Linked DNA regions of Rhinolophus ferrumequinum. The protein of the gene in region 3 binds, or shares a complex with, the protein of the main gene of each other region. Links are inferred from orthologs where the notes say so. Each region holds a gene or a part of one and is shown on either strand. Other genes may lie near its edges.

Region 1 (7,227 bases), on a different chromosome or scaffold from region 3:
GAACGAAAGTAGCATTGCTGGAAAACAAAACACAGGAGAGGGGGTGGAAAAGTGAGTCACTGGCAAAAATCTTTAGTGTGGTGGGAAAAAAAGGGAAGACATGTATTTCCATACCTCAATTAGTTTGTCTCCTTTGACTACATCCAGATGTAAACCAGGTGGGGGTTTACCTGCCCTGAAAAATAAGAGTGAATAAAGCATTTTCAGGCTGAGTTCGTAAACGCCACTTACAACCACTGTCCCATTCAACACTGCAGCTCTCCTATCAGCCTATAATTAGTTCATGTTCAAGCAGAAATGTCATCTATTTCTCTGTTATTACAGCTCCTTTCTAAACTATGACACTTAACTTCCCCAGTGATTCAATTGCTCTAAAACAGATTTTAGTGGATCTGTATTTAGAGCAGCACCAAAGAAACCTATATTTTAATATTGGATAGCTACCTCAGAAAGAAAGCAGCATAGAGAGTGCAAGCACTATTGCTGGGGTAGTCTGCTCACCTGAGTTTGAATCTAAGCTTTGCCACTACCACAAATATCATATAAAGGCTGAATAAATCAGTTAGTGCTTTGGGCTGATCAAGATTAGTTTCATCACAGAATGAGCAAAGGGTATTGTCCTGAGCTCTGAGACCAAATCAGAGGTATATATGCGTAATTAGGGAGCAAGAGTAATCCAATATCATGTGCATGAAACCAAGTACCAATAAATACAAGAGAGAGTTGTTACCTTTGAACAGGTCTTTCTACAATGGCATGTTTAAGGGAACATTTCTCTATACTACTATAACCACAGCATTTAAGGGAGATACACATGTCAAAGCACCTAACACAGTGCCTGGTACATAACAGACTGAGGAAATGGAAGGTGATCTCAAACAGTCTCTTCTAACTATAAGTTTACTGTCCAGGTCCAACTTCTGAAATCAATGCAGCAAGGAATCAAAGTGGACACAAAATCTGTAGAATGAAACAAGTGGGTATTACAAAAGTGCAAAGGGTCCTAGAAAATAGCCACACATTCATTTGCTTCCCGTGTTTGTTCCTTTGAAGTTTGAAGGGGAAAAAAAAAGAACAATCTTGCCAGAGTCCTTACATGTGCATAAAATGTATCCATCCATCTAATTGAAGATGCAATATAGTCAACTCACAATCCTGCCCCAACTCCTGTATGGCAGTTGTTGAAAGGACAGGGCATTGGACAAAAGCCCATTTTGCCCGGGGAAACAGGGATAGCAATGTTACATCCAAAACATCTTTTCTGAACTCCTACTATGTGCCTGTCTTAGGCCTAGGAGCTGTAAATATAAAGATGCATCAGACAGCCCTTGCCCTTGAGGATCTCAATATAACGGGAGGCAGAGAAGAGTAACTCATAAATACACTGTGATGAGTTACTGCAGAAATAGCTCTAACTCAGATGGGTCTCCTTACAAGGCAATTCATAATTATTCATCCTGTACCCTACTTAAAGACTACATTAAATTATTCCATTATTTCCAAGATCTTGAGAAAGGATGAAAGGGGTTCATTCCAACAATTACTGATGCCCACTTGTGCCCGGCTTCGCGCTGGTTGCTGAGAATGCAGGGTATGTCAGAGCCGTGCCTGCCCTCAGGAAGCTCCCAGTCTGCGAGCGACAAACAAGTATTGGATCAGGGATGCAGCACAACAGAGGGATGCCGGGATCTGAGACTGGGCTGAGGCCGGGAAGCTAGCTCGTGCGCGCTCGGGACAAGAGAACAGGGCAGGCACGGTGCTCCACAAGAGCACTAGACATTCAGTCAGGAGTTGGGGTAAGTTCAGGGCCACGGCCCAAAGCGCCACGGCAACCGGCTGATTGCCCAAGGGACTGCCTAAGCGAGCGCCTCAGAGCCCTCAACTCTGGGTTTCCTCAGTGCCTGGGCCCGGGCTCCAGGCTCCCGGTTCCTCCACACGCCGCCCGGCCCGACGGGCAGTTCTCCCTCAATCAGTCCCCCGATCTCTGAGCTGTTCAGCTCGCTGCGAAAAATGAGCCGCCCAGCCAGCCCAAGCCAGTCCAGGCCAGGCCACTCCAGCTCTGGTCGTCCCGCCACTCACCAAGTCGGGCAATCGAACAGCGGGAGGCTGGAGCCGGAGTTCGCGGCTGCCGCCATCTTGCGTCTCCCCCTCCCATTTGGCGGGCCCGAAGCATGCCGGGAAACTGGAAGACCAAGAGGAGATGGTATCCCAGGGGTCTGTGCGAGCGCGCGCCCGTGCGCGCGCACGCGTCTTCACTCGCACATACTGGGCGAGACTAGTAGTGGCGGTAGAGACTAGAATGTGGTTTTGAGGTCTTTTTCAGTGTTTGAGACTGTTGGCCTTCTCTGGAAGAATCTCCGGAGGCTAGGGCTTTCCTTGGCCGGGAGGTGTTTGAGGAAAAGGAGCTTGTGAAAGGGAGTATCGGTCTCTTACGTCCTCCTTACAGACTCGCTTCTGGGCTCTTAAATCTTGCGGCTCCTCCATCCATGCTGCAGGCTTACACCCGAGCTCAGAGATTGGAGTGATCACTCATTCTGTTTCTGATCTTTTGGTCCTACTCCGCAGAGCTGCTTGTACCCCACTTACTTCCCCTTCCTAATCCAAATCTGGGCCTTGAGGGCTACTGTAGATCATTTGGAAATCTAGTCTGTTTATGAAAACTCTGGACAAGCTGGAGCCAGGTAAGGATCCACTCAAGGCAGGCATCCAAATCTTTAATGTGTATGAATGTAATGGTTAAATTGTGACCCCTTTGACTTTTTAAATATTGGTGATGGTGACTAGATCGTGAAAGGAAGCATTAGGATTCAGGCCTGCCCTAGGCCAACAGCTGGCTTTATCTTCTGGGTGCTGAATTCTCTGGGCAAGTTTGTATATGGATTTAATCCTCACAACACTCTTGAGATAGATATTGTGATCCCTAAGGGGAAGCTCAGAGAGATTGAGTTGTCCAGGCTCACCCTAGGAGTGGTGAGTGGGATTCAAACCTAAATTTGTACGATGCCAAAGGCCATGCTCTTTAATCACCACTGTCTCTCACATTTAGATGTTAGTACAAACATATTTATCATCATGCAACTGATGCTCAAGACTTTTTACTTCTGTAGAAAACCTGGATTATCTGACCTGCTTTTTCCTTTTTTTAAAGAAACTAATTGCAAAATTACTGTTCACCCAGAAAAAGGCACTGCACAGCAAGTTACGTCTTTCTGTGATGTTTTTCTTGATTCCTGTTACTGGTCCTGTTGATTTTAAATTTGAACATCAGCCTGTTCAAAAGATTTTGCCCTTAATGACATCTCCAGGGATCAAAATTTAACTGCAACATATTAGGTTGGTGCAAAAGTAATTGCAGTTTAAAATGTTAAAAATAATTGCCAAAACCGCAATTACTTTTGCACCAACCTAACAACTTGGATTTTAAAATGATCAATTCTTAGGCAGGTAGGAGAATCACCTTTTCCTCTAGCCTTTAAAAGCACAATAAACTCACCTACCAAGGATGTTAACTGATCAGATGACTTATCAAAGGACCAGTTAATATCTCCTTTCCAGTCTTGATTCCAAAGACTAGGCTGATGAGGAAAATACAAATTCTAAACTTGGTTTCAAGAAAACAGGCAATGACTCCCTCCTTTGAGCACAAGGACGTGATTCTTGAGAAGGCATTCAATAGTCTCAAAAGTGTTTTAAGTGTAATAGAAAAGAATAAGGTACTTTTATCTACAGAGATTGTGCAAGCCTTTGAGGTTCCATGCCCCTTTCAGGCATGAGGTGGTCTTGAAGCCATTTCTAGCTATGAGTGACCTGGTAACATGTCAACTTTGCCTTTCAACTTCTCAGCTTCTGTGTGTGGTCCATGATTTAATCCTTTCTATTGCTAACTATACACCCAAGAAACCTAAAGCTATATTCTTACCCTTAAATTCTTTACTCCTTGGCCATGTTCCCTTTCCAGCACAGCTGATATTCACACTGGCTTGTGATGTAATGACACCTTACACTTACCTAGACCTTTTAAAGCAAAATGCTCTTTGTGTGGGCGCCAATGATGTCAGTATAGACTAGCAAACTGGAGGACAGCTGTCTAGGCCCTTCATCTTTTGAAATGGGAAGACTGATGGTCTAGCTGCCTTTGGATTTTGGTATCTCAACAAAGACAGATTAATTTCTTAGACATTGGCACTTCCATAGAATAGAACCTAAAAACATCAGGAGCATACTGATGTCAGAAAACTTTCTTAAAACATCTTTGATATATGAGTGATCAAGTGGAGACACTAAAACAACAAAAGTGTGTGTACAGATAGTACAAGCAGGAGGCTTCATTTAACAAGTGTGTTTACAGATAGGACGTTAATGAAAAGTTCACAAGGTACTAATGAAATAAAAGATGTTCATGACAAGTTGGATAGAAATTACTGTTACTCCAGATTTTTAGAGAAAGCTTCATGAAAGAGGTGGTGAGCAGGATAGTTTGTATTAGGGCTGCATGGAGACTAACAGTGTTTAGCATCTAAAGGTGTGGTTTTGAAGTCTGAGTGCTTGAGATCAAATCCTGGCTCCATCACTCCTAAATTACTTACTTGCCTCGCTTCCCTAATCCATAAAAAGAGGACAAGAAACATGTATCTCCTAGATGGTTTTGTGGGCATAACAAATGTAAAATGTGAAACAGTTAACATTTAGCATAGTAAATTGCTGGTATCAAGAGCTCAAATATTACCCCACAGATAATCATTCACATGTAGAGCATTTCCTCAAGCCTTTGAATTCCTGTAATAGACTGCCATTCCTGGCCTCAACTTCTTCAGTTGTAGGTGATGGGGCTAGTCTAGATGAGTGGTTGACAGACATCAGAGATGTCATGGACCAGGAAAAAAATACAGGAATATCAACTTTTGTTTTGCCAACTAAGGAGATTTAAAAATGAAGACTGCCATCTAACATCACCACCTTTCCATTTTTACCATCTTTCAATATCCTTTTTAAAAAGTTGGAGGAGGTCATTAGTTGAGCCTCAAAGGTGGTACTTTTAAAAAGCCCACTACATCCTTTTCCTCATTTCTCCATGGACTGGTAAAAACTTGGTCCTTAATCACAGTCCAACATTAAAAATTCTATTATTTCAAGTTTATCTTTAAAAATTAAGTGCTACATTGTCAATCAAATTTCATTTTGGGTAAGTATTAAAATGAACTACTCAGTTGGCCTAAAAGTTAAGATCAGGGGTTGGGAATCAAAACCTTTCAAACTAGTTCCTGGTTAACTGGAGATTCTAAACTAGTTGTGTTTTGTAACACTAGAAGTCAATACTGAAAAATTCTTTTAAACCTAGGGATACACTAAACATGCTTTATACAGCCCAAAGGAAACAGGTGATTCCTACTCCTAAGAAACAGGATAGACTGAAATCTGAGTTGGGTTCTGGTCTGCATTTAGTGACCAAAAGCAAAAGTTTCATTTCTATGATTGAGGACAGCCTCTGAACAGACGAAAAACAAAACAGAACTGAATGGAGGCGGCTCAGCATGTTTTACTTTGCACTGACTAAATGGTAATTTCCTTTTGATATTTTTGCCCAATGGTACAATGCAGTGTATCACCACCCCTTAGCAAAATCAAACAAAACAAACCTACCCTGGGAGCATCAGTCTAGCAGCTGGTAAGTTCTTGTTCTGGAACATTCCCAGATGAAGTAGCCAGCCTGACATTTGTACTTTGCCCTATACAGTACTACAGTTTTAATCCACTTGAAGAGAGAATACTGGATCTGTCCAATACTTCTAGAACATTCCATAAAGGAAGGAGAAAAGAGGAAGACGAAAGGGATACAGAGGCAAACATAGAATTTCTATGTTCAGACCAAACCCCTGTGGCTTTTAAAATCAGAGAATTTCACAGCTAGAATAGAGCTATTGAGAAAATTTGGGGCCTGTGGGTTAAATGACTTGCCCAAATACCTACAGCAAGTTAATGGCAGAGCTAAGATTCTTCAGGCCTTCTGTAACCCATGCTTGTTTTCTGACCTCCAAAACAGTTCTCAACCATGGTTACACAGGAGAATTATCTGAAGCTTTTAAAAGTCCATATGCCGAGGCTATATTCAAAACAAACTAAATTAGAATTTTGTGGCAGGAGCACCCAGGTATCAGTCTTTTTTGTTTCTAATGTGAAGCCATGGTTAAGAACCACTGTCCTATACCATGATTCCCCCAATGAACAAAACACAAATAAGGAGGATTCTATGAACCGGTTTATTAGGACCATCTACCATAACCTTTCGGCACTGCCACAAATTCCAGGCCATTCAAATTCTAGGCCAAGGTCATATTTGCTACCTGTGACCACTATTACCACCACCATTGGACCACTACGTATGTAGTACTAAATAAACAGAATTATGGTGGCTTCATTTTACCCAAACTGAAATAGTTTTTCACCAGACTTTCTTGCCTAGAATGTTACAAATGATGTATCCAAGTCCAGCTGTAATTTGGAGCAGAAAGGACAATGATCGTAGAGCCAAGGAATAAGCTCTAAAGCTGCTGCTGGGGCCACTGTGACACCCCAATAGCTCCATCCTGGTTTTCAAGGAAGGGGCTGCAGCAGCACCTGTTCCACCCCCAAACCAATCCTCACTTGATCTCTAGTCTTCTTGCAGGTCTCAGTTTTTCTCAGAATAGCACATTACCTGATATCTACCACATTAGGATGTTAACTGATAAAAACAGACTACAAAAGCTTCTAAAATGTTTATTTTTATTAAGTGGGTAGAATGGTGTGAGAGTGCAAAGAAACTTACACATTTGGGCCCTTGTTTCCCTACTGTTCACATTAGTATAGTAAAAGATCAAGTAACATTAAAGGATTAAAGGGAATAGAAGAAATTAATATAAATATATCCAGGGTAGCCAAATCTTCTAATTCACTAAAGGATGAACTGAAATTGTTGGCCCAATTCACATCTATGTGAGAGCCTAAAAAAATTACACTCCCTTTAACTGCTCTAGCCTTGTGAAAAAGGGAGGTGGACAACATTTATATTACAAGACAACAATCTTTTATTGAAACATTTCTTATCTAAAACTATGCATGGAGAGATTAATTTCTTGTTCATAAATTAAGATGTCTAACATCACTATTCCAAACCAGTATTATTTACAAAAATGAACCTTTGCTTTGCTTTATTGCTAGGTTCACAGAACTAAATTTTAAACCAACTTC
Region 2 (7,087 bases), on a different chromosome or scaffold from region 3:
GTTCACAACGGGCGTCTTTTAAATTAGTGGTCCCCAACATTGGCCCATGGAGCAGTGATGGTCCATGAAATCTTCATCAGCCCATGGAGAGGTAACAAAAACAAAAGTAACGAGTGTTTTCATGAAGCTAAAATTTGCAACTTAAAAGCACCAACTGATGAGATTATGTCCTACACTCTACTGGCATTATTAAACATAAGGTTCTTCGAAGACAAAAAAATAATTGTACCGTATTTCCCCGAAAATAAGACCTAGCCAGACAATCAGCTCTAACGCATTTTTTGGAGCAAAAATTAATATAAGACCCCGTCTTATAGTAAAATAGGACCGGGTCTTATATAATATAATAAACCCGGTCTTATATTAATTTTTGCTCCAAAAGACGCATTAGAGCTGATTGTCTGGCTAAGTTTTATTTTCGGGGAAACATGATAGGTGGTAGTTGTTTAACAACCTTGTTGGCAAAATAAAAAGTGGGTAGTCTGATGTTTATCTGTGCAATGTTTTAGGGAAATATTACTAGTCAAGGAATCTAAAATCTCAAGAACCACTTCTGAAGAACTTTTAGGCATTTTTCAAAGTTTTCCAGCCTCAGATATGGAGGCAAGAAGGGCCAACTTTGATGTCTTTGGATAATTCTAGAAATGTCATCTGTGACTAAATATCTTGGACTGTATCTGGTTGGAGCCCACCCTCAATTGCTCACAGTCAAACAGACTGACACCTACATGTCAGCGTCCTCGTCCCTTCGGTTGGTTTCTGCAGAAAATGACGTCCCCAGGTGGAGGTCTTCCTCTTCACTAATCCTAAAAGGAGAGGAGAGTGAAGTGGGCCTTCGAGTCACAGCTCAGGCTGAGTTTTATGTTATAGCAATAAGACAAATATGCATGTTTTATCATCCTGTTTATAGTGGGAAAAATATATATAGGATACGTAAATAAAATCAATATATGGAAGTGAACTGCTGGCCTCTGGAGATTCCTCTGGGGAATGAACAGATATTTTATTTTTTACTCGTGTATTGTTTGAATGTGCTATTTTTATAATTGTGCTTTTTTATGTTTCCTTAAAAAAGAAAAATGAAACATCCACATGGGTTTGAAAGACAAAAAAACAATGCACCTTTACAAAAAGAGTGTACCCACATCTCTCTATGCTAACTTTTAAAGAGTTTTTGTGTTCTTTCGTTTTGAAACCCTGCACAAAGCACAAAGGATACTTGAAGATGTCCCGCTAAAGCTACTACTGCAGGCCAGCTCTCTGGGGCACACAGACCCTAGCAGGGATACAGGTGAATCTGTATGTCAGTGTGTTCTGCACTTACTTATCTTTGCCCCTTTCCTTCAGTTTCTTCATGTCCACCATACCGCCTGTCTTCATCTGAAAGGGATCATCCTGCAGAACACAAACACAGCTAAGAGGAAACATCTATATATTAGGTTGCTGAAAAAGTAATTGTGGTTTTTGCAGTTATTTTTAACCTTTTAAACCACATTTACTTTTGCACCAACCTAATACTTGGCAGTGGATTTTTTCTTTTTTTAAAGAAAACACCATCACTCATTGAAGAGCATCCACATCTTCCCACTGCTCACGGAGGACCCCACAACTTACCACTAGAGTGGTCTCTTCTTGTACCTTCTCTCCCACCAGCAGGGCCACAGCACTGAGCAAAACCAAAAAGGGAAGGTGGGTAAAAGGGAAGGAATGGCATAGTTTAGAGATGTGGAAGAACGTTTAGAAAGTTTGTAGGTTGCAACATTAGTGCAAGGGTGAGATCTGAGGGATGGGCGCCAAAGCCAGCTGGAAAAGCCTGCAAGAATGAAATAGGGCTCAACAAGCACTTTAGATGCTGGGGGCGGGGTGAAGGGGTACACTTTCCTATAAAGCCATTTGGCATTATCTTGGCTTGGAAACATCAGTTCTAAGATTTTGCCTTCAGGGAAAATAAAGCTAAAGACAAATGCCGGAAGATAGATATTGCAGCCTTATTTGATGAAAGTTTACAACACAACCTACAGGTCCTCAAATAGGGAATGAGCTAAATTATGGGACATGCATTTGGTGGAATGTTATGCTGCCGTTAAAAAGGTTTTTGGGAAAATAATCCACAATGTGAGTGAATGTCCGCAATGTCATAGAGTTGAAAATAGCATATAAGTACCTACTACCCTTTACAAACCAGAGAAAGAATACAGATCGGAAAGAACATTAAATGATAACACTGGTTACCTCTGGGTGGGAGAATTACATTAATAGGTGCTATTTACTGACCCGTTTCTGCACCTTCAGAGCAAACCTGCAGACCACACCGTGCAGGGCATCTCCTGGTTAAATATTTTCAAAGAATGCTAGACCCCTTTCAGGGCAGTGGAAGGTGTACAGTGTGTCAAGAAAAGGGGCTATGTCTGAGGAGGTATGTGTGACAGCGACCGGGGCAGGGGCGTGTCTGTCATCCCTTGCTCCTCCAGGTTCCCCCGCGGTACCCACCTCACCCCGTTGGGCCGCTTCCTCAAGTTCTGCACCTCTCGAGTCTCTTCCAGTTTTAATCTGAAAAAAGGCAATACGCAGGCTGAGAGACCCTCCGCAGAACTCAAGAGTCAAAAAGCAGCTTCGACCCGTGCCCCAAGCCGCTGCTGAGCCGCGGGCACAGTGGTACGGAAGGCGAACCTGCGCCAAGACCCATCAGATCCACTGCCCATCCCGGAGACAACTCTCCTAACTGCGCGGCCTTGGGGGTGGCGACCACATCACTAGGACCCTCAACTTCTCCCGCGACAACAATCCCGGCTCATAGCAAATACGGTCAACGAGGCTCCTGGCCGGTGGTCCCCAAGTCGGCCTCTCTTTTCCTGCCCCGCGGAAACCCCGCCCCAAACGCACCGAACCTCCTCTGAGTCCTGCTCATCTTCCTCCGACTCCGAGTCGGCCCGGCGCCGGCGGAAAGTCTTCCCGGTCACCGGCATGACCGCGCCAGCCCTGCGGTCCAGCCGCTGCGCCGCTGCGCGAAGGCCTAGTATGCTTCCGGCGCGCAGCAGTGCGGTCAGAGCGCCGGCTCCGCCTGGCCCCGCCCCAAGCCCTACCTGGGCCCGCCCCGCCTGGCACCGCCCACCTGGCCACGCCCCCATTGATGGTGTCGGCGTCTTCCGATTGGGAAGCCAAGGAAGAGAAGGCGGGGCACGGCCAAGCCGGCCCCAGGACCCTGCGCGGCGTAGCGGAGGGCGCGTTTGACTGACAGGCTGAGGCGGCGAGGTAGCGACGGCAGGTGAGTTCCTGGCTGCGGCGGGCTGCTTCGGGGGGCCTGGCCTCTCGGAGCAGGGGCGACCCAATCCCTGTTCCGGGCCGGCGGGGGCCTGGCCCTGCCAAGTGCGCTGGACGCCGCGGCTAGGTGAGCGGAGCCCGGGACCCCCCGGACGCTGTCGCCCATTCCCCTCCTCCGTCCAGCGCCCAGGGGGTCCCTTGTGGTCCCGTCGCCCTACTTCGAGCTCCCGGGGGCTCGCTGCTTCTCCGGGACAGGGGCCGCCATGTCCTTTATTTCTGCCAGGGCCTGATCCAGCGTTGAAAGCACGCATGTGGCATTCGGGGCGCTGACTTATATTTCCCCGGGGTCTGGGCCCTGACGTGTTTTTTTCTCTTTAGGGACAAAAAGATGACCACTTATTAGCGGCGGTGAATTAAAGCCCCAGCGCCGACTGCCCCGCTAATAATGACCTCCAGCCACTTCTCCCCGAGGAGAGGCGCGTCTGATCTTTTGAACCCACTCGGGAGGGTTTTGAGGACAGAGGGCCCCTCCTCGGGTGCTTGCCGGCCGTCTCTCTGGACCTTCGGGGGCCTTGTTTTCGTCCTTTGTCACGCAGACTATCGCTCTACCTTTTGCCCCTTTTACCCCAGGGATGCTGTGAGGATTCAGTTTATTTGAAAAAAGGGCATAAACAAACGCTTAGGAAATAACTCCAGGCATAAATAGTGGCTTTGCTTTCCTCAATCTCGGCTGGTCCTTTCCTTTGACAAAGAATTAGCTGTTATTAAGCACTTACTCTGTGGCAGGTACTGGGCTAAGCATTATCTCATTGAACTCTCCCAACAATCCTATGAAGTAGATTCAGTTATTTTTCACTTTGCAAATGAGGATACCGGGCTTCAAAGAGGCACGTTTTGCAGTGCCTGGCACAGTAAGAGTTCAGTAAATGTTTGCTGAAGCTGCTGTTATTATAGCTCTTTGGCTGAGGGGAGGTACTGGTGGAGACTGTTTGGGGTTCCCTCTTTGGGAAGACCATTCGGAAGCTGGGCAGCATTTATGGAATGCCTTACTTTTCTCTGGAACAGTCTCCTCTGAGGTTGTTGTTCTCTCCCTTGGACTGAGACAAATAGTAGACTCAGGACTTCTTGGAACCTTTTGGCTTTGGTCAAAAGCTGCTCAGTAGCTGCTGTGTGACCTCCAGCCAGTTACACCACCTCTCTGAGCCTCAGTCTTTCCTCTTTTCGTGGTGGAGGTGGAAATGGGTTTAGCTCCCAATGTGGCCATCCCCCAGGGTGGTTATGAGGATTTAGTGAGTTCTCTTAATATCAGTTCCAGGATGCAGGGGCCATTTGGGTGGAGGCAAGGTGGGGAAGGCAAATGAGGAGAACTGGAGATGCGTGGGAAGCAGGACTTGCCAAGGCAGGAGGTGCCTGAGGGTTCTCCTTTGAGAATCAGAAGGATGGTGGACCCTCAGTGAATTAAGACTGGGTTAAAAGAAGGAATGTATTTGGGATTTAGGGAAAATGGAGCTGCGTGGAAGTCTACTGGAGAGAAGAGGGCAGGAGGGAGGGAAAGGGTACATGTTCTGAGGGGCAGAGGGGTGTGGGCGCGGGTGTGTGGGGTGTGGCAGGGCTCATGTGGTGAGGATCAGGGCAGGTGGGTGTCCTTATGTTAATGGGGGGTGTGGCAGTGTCACCTTTCCTGTCCAGAGGAAATTGGCTCCTGGCTGGGAGGACGATGGAGCCAGAACCTCCAGGAAAATGATGAGTAATGGGCACCTGAGGCCTGGTCTCAGCAGCTGGTGCCAGGCCCGGATATGCTGCCTGCCTGCCGCGTCCCTCGGGAGGCACTTTCCTCCTCACTCAGTGAAAGCCCCAGGGAGGGAAAAGTGCCTGTCCTTATTCCGGATGAAGCATCTTGGAAGCCTCACCCGGTCCTTGAATGCACGGGCTCTTTGCCAGACCTGCCATCCTGCCTCCTTTCCTCCTGCTTGTTCATCCCCAAGAGAGGAGGCGGGTCTGGTGGGTCAGGAGGGAGATGTGCTCTGGGATGGGTGTGGAAAAAGCCTAACTCCTTTGGCTGGCGATTTGGGCACCAGCTGTGGGGCGGGCACCGCACAGACTCCCGACAGCACAGTCATCCAGCTGCTCTCGAGAGGTCCTGTTCCCAGCATCCGGTTCTCTGAGGAGTGCAGGTTTCTTCCCCTTTCAGTCTTATGAAACGCCTACTATGTGCACTCCATTTATTTGCACAGAGGGAAGGTTGGGAAGGGCTATGAACGCAGATACACCTGGCTTACTTCTAGCTGTGTCCCTTTCTGTGTGGCTTCCCATCTCGGAGCCTCCATCCTTCCTCTCTAAGATAAGAAATAGTGGTCCTTACCTGAGTGTAGGGGGACCACTGGGCATAGTGCCTGGCTCAGAGTAGGCGCTGGATCCTGGAGCTCTGTTGTGGAGTTAGGGTTACCTTTTCCAAAAGACCCCCTCCCTGCTTCCACCTGAAACAAGAGGAAGGGAATCTTTAAAAAGTTTCTATTTAAAACAAAACAAGGGGGCCAGCCTGGTGGCTCAGGTTGTTGGAGCGCCGTGCTCCTAAGCTGCAGTGGATGGTTCGATTCCCACATGGGCCAGTGAGCTGCGCCCTCTACAGCTAAGATTGTGAACAACGGCTCTCCCTGTACCTGGGCTGCCACGAGCAAGAGGTCCTTGCCATCTGCTATGGGCTGCCCTGGGCTACCATGAGTGGCCGGCGGCCAGCATGAGTGGCTGGTGGCCGGCAGACGGGGAGAGGTGACCGGCGGCCGACTGCATCAGCGGAGGGCGGAGGGGAGCGCAAAGCTTTTAATACCAGCATGTCCCAGGGAGCTGTGTCCTACACACCTAGACTGAGAAACGATGGCTTGAACCAGAGTGTGTGTGTGTGGGGGGGAGGTGAAAGAAGGGGGGGAAAATAAGAAAATAAAAAATAAAACAAAAAAAATCAAACTTACAAGAATAATAATGAAATCCCATTCATACGAGTCACCAATTATTATTTTTGCCGTTTACTCTTCCTATATTTATATGCTCAGAATCATCATCATTATTGCTGATCCATTTAAAAGTAAGTTGCAGATATCATGACCCTTTCCATCTAAATATTTCAGGTGGAATAATCCAAGAACAAGGATATTATAATACACAACCAGAAAACAATTTTCATCTTCAGAAACTTGAATGTTGATATAATACTGTATTCGTGTGCTGGAGCAGTCATAACAAAGTCCCACAGACTGGGTGGCTTAAACATCAGAAATGTATTTTCTCAAAGTTCTGGGGGCTGGAAGTCCAAGGTCAAGGGGTGAACAGATTTGGTTTCTTCTGAGGCCTCTCTCCTGGGCTTGCAGTCAGCTGCCTTCTTGCTGTGTCCTCACGTGGTTTTTCCTCTGTGCATCCTCATGCCTCCTGTGTGTCTAACTTTACTCCTCTTACTATAAGGATATCAGTCAGACTGCATCAAGGTCCACCCTAAAGACTCATTTGAACTTAATTCTTTAAAGACCTTATCTCCAAATAAGATTACATGCTGAGGTATTGAGGGGTAAGGACGTCGTCAACATATACATTTGGGGGAGGGGACACAATTCAGTCCCTAACAAATACTATCTAATATCTAGTCCATATTCAGATTTGTCTGCTGTCCCACTAATGCCCCTTTTTCCCGTTGATCCAGGATCCAAGTTTGTCATATCTCTTGAGTGCCTTTTATCTGAAACAGCTTCTCATCTTGTACTGAGAAAGAAGCAAGTTGCTGGCAGCAGAGGTGCTGGCTGCCTCAGGACAGGAAAGCTGTGTAAGGATTTGCTTC
Region 3 (7,902 bases):
ATGCAGACGCGCACACACATGGACACACACATGCACGCACACACACATCCCACAAGCACACACATGGACACACACGTGCATGTGCACATGCAGACGCGCACACACATGGACGCACACACATGCATGCACACACGCACGCACAGACACATCCCACCAGCACACACGTGCACACACGCGCGCAGGGCCCCGCCTCCCCGCCGCACCTCTCCTCGGCCCTCTGCCGCTCCTCCGCCTCCTTCTCTCGGCGCTTCTGCTCCCGCCTCTGCTGCTCCAGCTCCTGAAGCTTCTGCCTCTCCAGCTGCCGCTTCTTGATGGACGCGTCACTCAGGTGTTTGGTGGAATCAAAGGACACCTGCGGGTGGACACAGGGCACGGCGGCATGAGGTGGCCGCGTTTGCGGACACGTGCCTCGCCTCTCCGTGTGCTGACAAGAACCAAGTCGCCCCCTTCACAAGACGGCTGCCCCTCCCGCTCCCCAGGGCCCCAGCAGTTCCCCGGCCGACCCCGCCGCCACCGCCGCCGCCCTGGGCCCTGTGCCGGCGCCACCGGGTGGCCAGCCGAGGGTCAGAGGCCGGCTCTGTCCGAGGCTGGCGGCCTCGTCGCCGCACGGGAACCCAGGGAGAGCCCGCGGGGCTGAAGCACCCGGCCCGCCGCCCGCCGCCCGCCTCCGGGGGGGCCAGCACCTTGATGTTGCAGGCCACGGCCTTGCCGTCCTCGCCCTTGTACATGAGCTTCATCCCGCGCAGGGCGCTCATGGCCTGGATGAAGCCCGCGTACTCGCGGTACTGCACGTAGGCCTCGAAGTTCAGGTGCCCCCCGAAGCTGAAGGTGTGGAAGTTGCGCCCCGTCATCTCCTCCCGGTAGGGGTCCAGCATGGGGATGTCCACGTTGCGGATGTCCCCGAACTTCTCGAACACCCTGACCAGCACGTCCTCGCTGGGCTTCTCGGAGCCCGCGTCCCGCGGGGCGAACCACTTGCAGGGCAGCCCCTCCAGGTGGATGGTGTCCGGACGCTCCCCCGGCAGCGTCTCGTTCATGTCCTTGGCGTCGCGGAAGAAGGAGTCCCAGTCGTGCCGCGTGGGGAAGTCGATCTTGAACTCGGCGGCGCGGACCCGCAGGGTGTCGGAGAAGCCGCTGAGCTTGATGGTCTTGCCGTCCAGGCAGGCCAGGAAGGCCTTCACCAGGCTCTTGTTCTCCACCTCGCCCTCGAAGCGGATGAAGTCCATGGTGCTCTTCGTGATCCGCAGCGTGGAGAACTGGTGGCTGTGCACCATGGCCTTCAGCCGCTCCATCACCTCCCAGTTGGAGATGGACTTGCCCGGCTGCTTCAGCTGCGGCAGCGCCACGCTGATGGTCATCTTGGTGATGGGCTTGAGGTACAGGCCGAACGCGGGGCACAGCTCCACCGCCTCAGACGTGTCGTGCACGATGGTGGCCGCGGCCATAGCCGGGACCTGGGGCCTGAAACGCAGACGCACACAGTCAGGGCCGGGCGCCCGGGCCGCCCAGCGCGCGAGGCTGCTTCTGTGCCTCGTGGGAAAACGGGGGCTCCACCTGCTGGAAGCCCTCATCACCTGAGATGGCTCTGTCCTGAAACCATCAGGTGACGCCAAAGGGGAAAAGAACTGGGTGGACAAAAGCTTTTACGCGCCCTGCACCCGGCACCCAGAAGCAGCCCTCCCGGGGCCAGAGCCCAGCGGGCTGGCTCCCACCCTCTGTGCAGCGGGAAGACGCAGGCGAGACCCCGCCTAGCTCCCTGGAGGGAGGTGCAGACAGGTCGTGGGGAAACCACAGGCAGGAGGCCGCTCAGGCACCTGGAAGACTGTGTAGCAGGTGGCCTGGCATTTGCCCTGGTCAAACAGGAAGGTTCACGGTGAAGACACTGCAAGCCTGTCTCTGCCCTACTTCACGTGAAAAGTGCCCGTCTTTCCCCAGCTGGGGGCTGGGAGCCATGGGCACCCTCTCCCTCCCCTCACTGCCCTACTGGTCTTCCCTGCTGGTCCCCACAAGTTCCCGGAGGGCAGGTTCCAGCCGTGACCTTAACACCACGCACCCAAACAACACAGGTGGCCCATCCAGCCATTGCCCGCCAGCTCAGGTGGGAGGTTTCCCGACAGGCCCCAAGGCAGGAGGCTCTGAACCGCGTGGAAGAGCCACCTGCGTGGACGAGGGGCTGCGGCCCAGGCTGAGACCCCAGACCTCCCCCAGAACTGCCCCCGCCAGGACCCTCCCTCTGGTGGCCTGGCTACCCCTGTGCCCCACCCCCACCCCCGAGGGCCCGGCTGCCTCTGGTAGCCCAGGCGCCCCCAGGCCCCGGGGTTCAGCCCCCACACCTCCACCCCACGCAGCTGCCTCTGGGGCTTCGCTGTGTCCCCCTAACTGCCCCCTGTCCCCCAGGTACACCGCCATTACCCTGGGTACCCCAGATTTCCAGCCCTCATTAGAGCCCCGGTTGGCCTGGCCTCTAGCACCGATCCCCTCATAAAGGTTGGCTCCCCGTAACCCTCGGTCTCCATGGTAACCCCCAGGCTCCGGGCCTTCCTAGGCCACCCCTGGTACTGCCCCCACCTCAGACCCAGGGCCCCGACCCACGGTACTCCCCGCCCCCGGTATCCCCCGGCCCCCTCAGTGCCCCCGTGTCCCCCAGTATCCCCGGCCCCCGGGATCCCCCCGGCCCCCCAGTGCCCCCGGCCCCCGGGATCCCCCGGCCCCCCAGTGCCCCCGGCCCCCGTGTCCCCCGGCCCCCCAGTGCCCCCGGCCCCCGTGTCCCCCGGCCCCCCAGTGCCCCCGGCCCCCGGGATCCCCCGGCCCCCCAGCGCCCCCGGCCCCCGCAGGCCCCGGCCCCGCACCACCCCCGGACCCGGACCCCGACCCCGGCCGGCTCCCGGAGGCAAGCGGTTGCGGGCGGTGCTCACCGGCGCGGGACTCCTCCTGTGTCCCCCGCCGCCGCCGCCGCCCTGGCCCCAGTTCGCCGCGGTCCCCCGACGACCCCGGCAGGAGCAGCCTCCCCCCCCGAGACCCCCCGATGCGCCCCGCCGCCGCCCGCCGCTGTGACGCACTTCCGCTTCCGGTGTGCGGGCCCGCGGAAGCGGCCGCGCGGCGGCTGCCGGTTTCTCCTCCCGGCCCTGGCCCCGCCCCTAGGGCGGGACTTCCGGGGGCCCAGGGCGAGGGCGGGCCGACCTCTGCTGTGCACTGCGCGTGCGCGAGCTCGCCCTGCCCCCCACGCCGCTACCTGTGCGCAGGTCGCAGGTCCAGGCCGAGGCCGCACCTGGGCCACGGTGGGCGCTCGACGATCAGGAGCGGTGCCTGGTGTTTGCGCCTAAATTGTTATGATAACCATGCATAATCTACTAATATAAGTTAACTGTAAATTACGATCGAATCAAGCATTCATTTATTGTATTTACTGTACACATTAATTCACATCACAGGTACCATAGTTATATAATTCAATGATAAATTATGCATTTCTCTCATCAAGCACTTATTAATAACTTAATTACTTAGTTATGTATATTGATGTCTAGATTGGAGGCTTCCTTCCAGGGGCGGTTATGTGCTTATGTAAACATGTAATACAAATATGTAATATTTTAATATTTTCAATGGTTTATGTTTCATACTTTACATGACACTTATTTTAATAACGAAATTGAAATGCAACTCTATTTTGCATGTATTTTCACGTCACTTTATACATCATTATAGTATTTTTTACAGAATCGTATGCTTATATGATTATGTAATTAGAAATTTGCACGTTACAATGTATGAGGCTCCCATACTATGGCAGATGGTGAACAAGCCGTGGGCTTCGGATGCCCCAACCATGTCCAAGCCCCCACCCTGAAAATCCAGGGTCGGAAAACAAGAGGGAACCCTCCGTTGTTCAACATAGTTTGCCAACCCATCAGCGTTAGAGGGGCCAGGGGACTGAAGGGACCCCAACTACCAATGGAGTTTTCAATAGGAAGGGGTTCCTGCATAATTTCTGGGTGTCTGCTATGTGTGGGTCGTGTTGTCCTGTCCACACACCGTCCCTAGAGGCAAGTATGACCGTGCTCTCCACGTGAGAAGGAGCAAAGGGAGGGTGCAGGCTCCCCCAGGAAGGTGGCCCAGGCTTTGAACCCAGGCAGGCTTCCTCACTGTCTTCATGTACCTTCTTGTTCTTCTTGGGAAGACAGAGAGGTCTGGTGTTCTCTTTAAAACCGTCCTCTCCGAGGCTGCTTGCGCGTTTGTTTCCCTGGGGAACGGTTCAGTTTGAAAGCGATGTTTCCACTCTGCTCTCTGAGACATTCGCAAAGCACATGAAGAAGGAAGACACGCAGTCCTTCGGAACCGGCAAGCCCAAGAGGGGATTACAGTACTTGGGGAAATGTTCCAGGAAATTCCTGCTCCAGTCTTTAGCAAGGTACCCCTCCTCTGGCTGCACCTCAGAAATAGAAAAACAAAGTTCCAGGTTAGCTGCAGCCATGATCCTTGGTCCCAATGCGGTAAGTGGATGGCTGTAGAAACCACTCTCGTGGACGATCGACAGGAACTGGGCACATGATGGGACGTCACTCCCAGGATTATATGGGAAAGGTCAAGGAATTTTGCGGTTGTAATTAAAGTGCCTAATCAATGGATTCAAGCGAATTAAAAGGGAAGTTATTCAGGGTGAGCCGGGCACAATCAGGTGCAGAAGTCAGAGTTAAGAAGTCAGAGAGATTTGAAGCAGCAGCCACACAGCTGGTTGCCTTATGGAGACGATCACTTAGCAGGAGATCTCCTTAGCAGGGCTCCTGAGAGATGAAGGCCTCAATGCTACCACGGAAGGAATTGGGTTCTTCCAACAACCAGGGATCCTAGAAGAGCCCTCCCTCCCCCCACCGAGCCTCGAGTGAGAGCCTGGGGCTGGCTGACGCCTTGATGTGAACCTGGTCAGTCCTCCAGCAGAGGATGCAATTAGCCTGCGCCTGGACTCCTGACGTGCGGAAACTGGGGGCTGCTAAGTGTGTTGTTGGCAGCTGCTCCGTTTATCATCACTTGGTGCACATAAATCCACAACCAATGCATCTGGAGAAAACGTGTGGGTCCTAAGCCCTCATTAACCGCAGAAAATGGTGCCTCTTCACCCCACGCAGAAAAAAGACATTCTCTCTGTGCTGAAATAAGCAGCACTTTTGTCATCGTGACTGTGTTAGTCTCCTGGGGCTGCTGTAATGCAATACCAGAGACTGGGGCTTAAACAACAGAACTGTATCCCCCAACAGTTCTGGAATCTAGCTGTCAGCAGGGCTGGTTCCTTCCGAGGGCGAAGGAAGGAGCTGCTCCAGGCCTCTCTCCAGCTTCTGGAGCTTTGCTGGCAATCTTCGGCGTCCACCTTCACACGGCTGTCGTCCCTCTGTGTGTGTATCTGTCTCTTCCCTCTTCTTAGAAGGACACCCGACACGTTGAAGGACAGCTCCCCCTACTCCACTCTGACCTCATCTTCAAGGACCTAACGACCACTGACACAGAGGTCCCGGGTTCCAAGCCAGATGTCGGCACTCAGTGAGGCCTGGTGAGAACTGGGACCAGCGAACGGACGCCTACTTCTGAACCCAGAGCAGATCCAATTCTGGCTGCCCTCTAGAGTGAGACACTTCCCTCCAGGGTAGACACCTTCCCCAGGGTGTCGGCATTCCTTCCACTTTCACTGAGATTCAGAGACTGTTCATCTACTCCTACAAGAAAAATGCCTGAGGATGTAAGTGTGTGGATCACTAAATGCGTGCATATATGCATGTCTATCTACCTATCTATCTATCTATCTATCCATCCAGCAATATAGCTGTCTGTCTGGTTATCTATCCATCCACCTATATATCCATTCACATACCCATCCAGCTACCCGTCCATCCATCCATCCCTCCACCCACCCACCCTAATCCATCTGTCCATTCATCCGCTCACCCACCCACCCATCCCTCCATCCATCCTCTACCCACCCACTTACCACCTCTCCACCCAGCCCTCCCTCCCTCCATCCATACACCTCAGACATATTAATATTAAACATGCCTCTCAAACCTAAACAACTCACTTCCGCCAGGGGGCGCGCCCACCAATGTAATGAACCCCAGAGGGAGCTGCCTGGTTATCCCTGTGGTAGGGTCCGGAAGCCAAGGTCTTCAGGGTTCCTTAACCCGTCCGTCATCTGTCCTCAGCAAAGACATCAGCCCAGTGGTTTTCCCACGAACGTTACCCTCCTTAGGACACCAGCCCTTTGCAACGCATTCTCTTATCAGGTAGTTCTTTATCTACCCCAGGACTTTTAATGCACCATGTGCCTAAGTTCTGAGCAGCACGATCCAAAGAAAAGTGTGTCACGTGGGCCTTGAGGGAGCCACACCAGGACTTGGAGACAGTCTCCTCTGCTGGTGCGGCATGTGTTCATTAGCCTGATTTTCTAAAGGAAATTCCACACAGCCTACTAGTTACCATTTTTGCTGTGCCCACATTCTGTCTCACTTGGTAATGCCAGTGCTGGTAAGTCACCCTATAGAATTATTGCCCAGTTATACAAAGGTCTATGTGTAAGTTACATTGCACAATAAAATACATACAGGTATTTGTGCAATATATATGTGTGTGTGTGTGTGTGTGTGTGTTCAGAGACTGTTAATCTGTTTATATATATTATATATATATATATATACAATATATATATTCAGAGACTGTTAATATATATATACTGCTATGCAGATATACAAGGCATATGTATAATTAATGCTTTTGGCAGCATTGGAGATGGCAGGAAGATAATGTGTTGCAGGTGTGCTAAAGCCCCACTGTTGTGATGAAAGGGTGTTCAAAGGTAATTTTAGAGTGTGGGACTAGCAGGTTGGGTCCACAGGCTGCAGCGCTGTAGAAGATGGATAAAGGAGACATGGGGTGGGGACAAAGGACTAGCAGCTAAGGCGACAGTATCCACCCACCACCCACCATCCATCCATCCATCATCCTTCTATTCATTCATCCATCATCCATCCATCCATCTATCCATCCATCATCCTTCTATTCATTCATCCATCCATCCATCCATCCATCATCCACCATCCATCCATCCATCCATCATCCATCTATTCATTCATCCATCATCCATCCATCCATCCATCCATCCATCCATCCATCATCCACCATCCATCCATCCATCCATCATCCATCCATCCATCCATCCATCCATCATCCACCATCCATCCATCCATCCATCATCCATCTATTCATTCATCCATCATCCATCCATCCATCCATCCATCCACCCATCATGCACCCATCCATCCGTCATCCATCCATCCATCCATACATCCATCCCTCCATCCATCATCCATCTATTCATTCATCCATCATATCCATCCATCCATCCATCATCCATCCATCCATCATCCATCCATCCATCCATCATCCATCCATCCATCCATTTATCCACCATCCATCCATCCATCCATCATCCATCCATCCATCCATCCATCATCCATCCATCCATCCATTTATGCACCATCCATCATCTATCCATCCATCATCCATCCATCAATCATCCATCCATTCATCATCCATCCATCCATCCATCCATCATCCATCCATCCATCCGTCATCCATCCATCCCCCCATCCAGCCTGCCAGCCAGCATCCAGGTGTGACAACATGCCTGGAACCCTGCCCCCAGAGAAGCTCACCTGAGCCTCAGTGCCTGGTTTTTACTGGAACTCCACCACAGCCTGTCCCTGTGGCCGCCCCTCAGTCTCCAGCCCCTCGCAGGGGTTCTAGATAGTACCTTTAGTCTCCATCCACTCTTGGAACTGACACAGGACGTTCCAGAGCCCCCATCAGAAATCACATAACGAAACTGTCCAGTGGCCAAAGCCAGGACACCCTTAT

What was found.
Region 1: AKAP17A (region 3) and PPP1R8 share a complex: the UniProt entries of both Homo sapiens proteins name them as parts of the spliceosome. The link is inferred for Rhinolophus ferrumequinum from reciprocal best matches to the Homo sapiens genes AKAP17A and PPP1R8.
Region 2: AKAP17A (region 3) and C12H9orf78 share a complex: the UniProt entries of both Homo sapiens proteins name them as parts of the spliceosome. The link is inferred for Rhinolophus ferrumequinum from reciprocal best matches to the Homo sapiens genes AKAP17A and C9orf78.

What each region holds. Positions count from the first base shown.
Region 1 is NC_046292.1:19,069,839-19,077,065, reverse strand, and holds the start of PPP1R8 (nuclear inhibitor of protein phosphatase 1), read right to left. Parts: upstream 3,088-7,227; 5' UTR 2,136-3,087; coding exon 2,080-2,135; intron 176-2,079; coding exon 115-175; intron 1-114. UniProt on the Homo sapiens protein: Inhibitor subunit of the major nuclear protein phosphatase-1 (PP-1). It has RNA-binding activity but does not cleave RNA and may target PP-1 to RNA-associated substrates. May also be involved in pre-mRNA splicing.
Region 2 is NC_046295.1:78,220,615-78,227,701, forward strand, and holds the start of C12H9orf78 (splicing factor C9orf78 homolog), read right to left. Parts: upstream 3,021-7,087; 5' UTR 2,967-3,020; coding exon 2,884-2,966; intron 2,551-2,883; coding exon 2,491-2,550; intron 1,667-2,490; coding exon 1,615-1,666; intron 1,396-1,614; coding exon 1,325-1,395; intron 807-1,324; coding exon 729-806; intron 1-728. UniProt on the Homo sapiens protein: Plays a role in pre-mRNA splicing by promoting usage of the upstream 3'-splice site at alternative NAGNAG splice sites; these are sites featuring alternative acceptor motifs separated by only a few nucleotides. May also modulate exon inclusion events.
Region 3 is NC_046284.1:124,073,420-124,081,321, forward strand, and holds the start of AKAP17A (A-kinase anchor protein 17A), read right to left. Parts: upstream 3,063-7,902; 5' UTR 2,916-3,062; intron 1,462-2,915; 5' UTR 1,446-1,461; coding exon 684-1,445; intron 353-683; coding exon 204-352; intron 1-203. UniProt on the Homo sapiens protein: Splice factor regulating alternative splice site selection for certain mRNA precursors. Mediates regulation of pre-mRNA splicing in a PKA-dependent manner.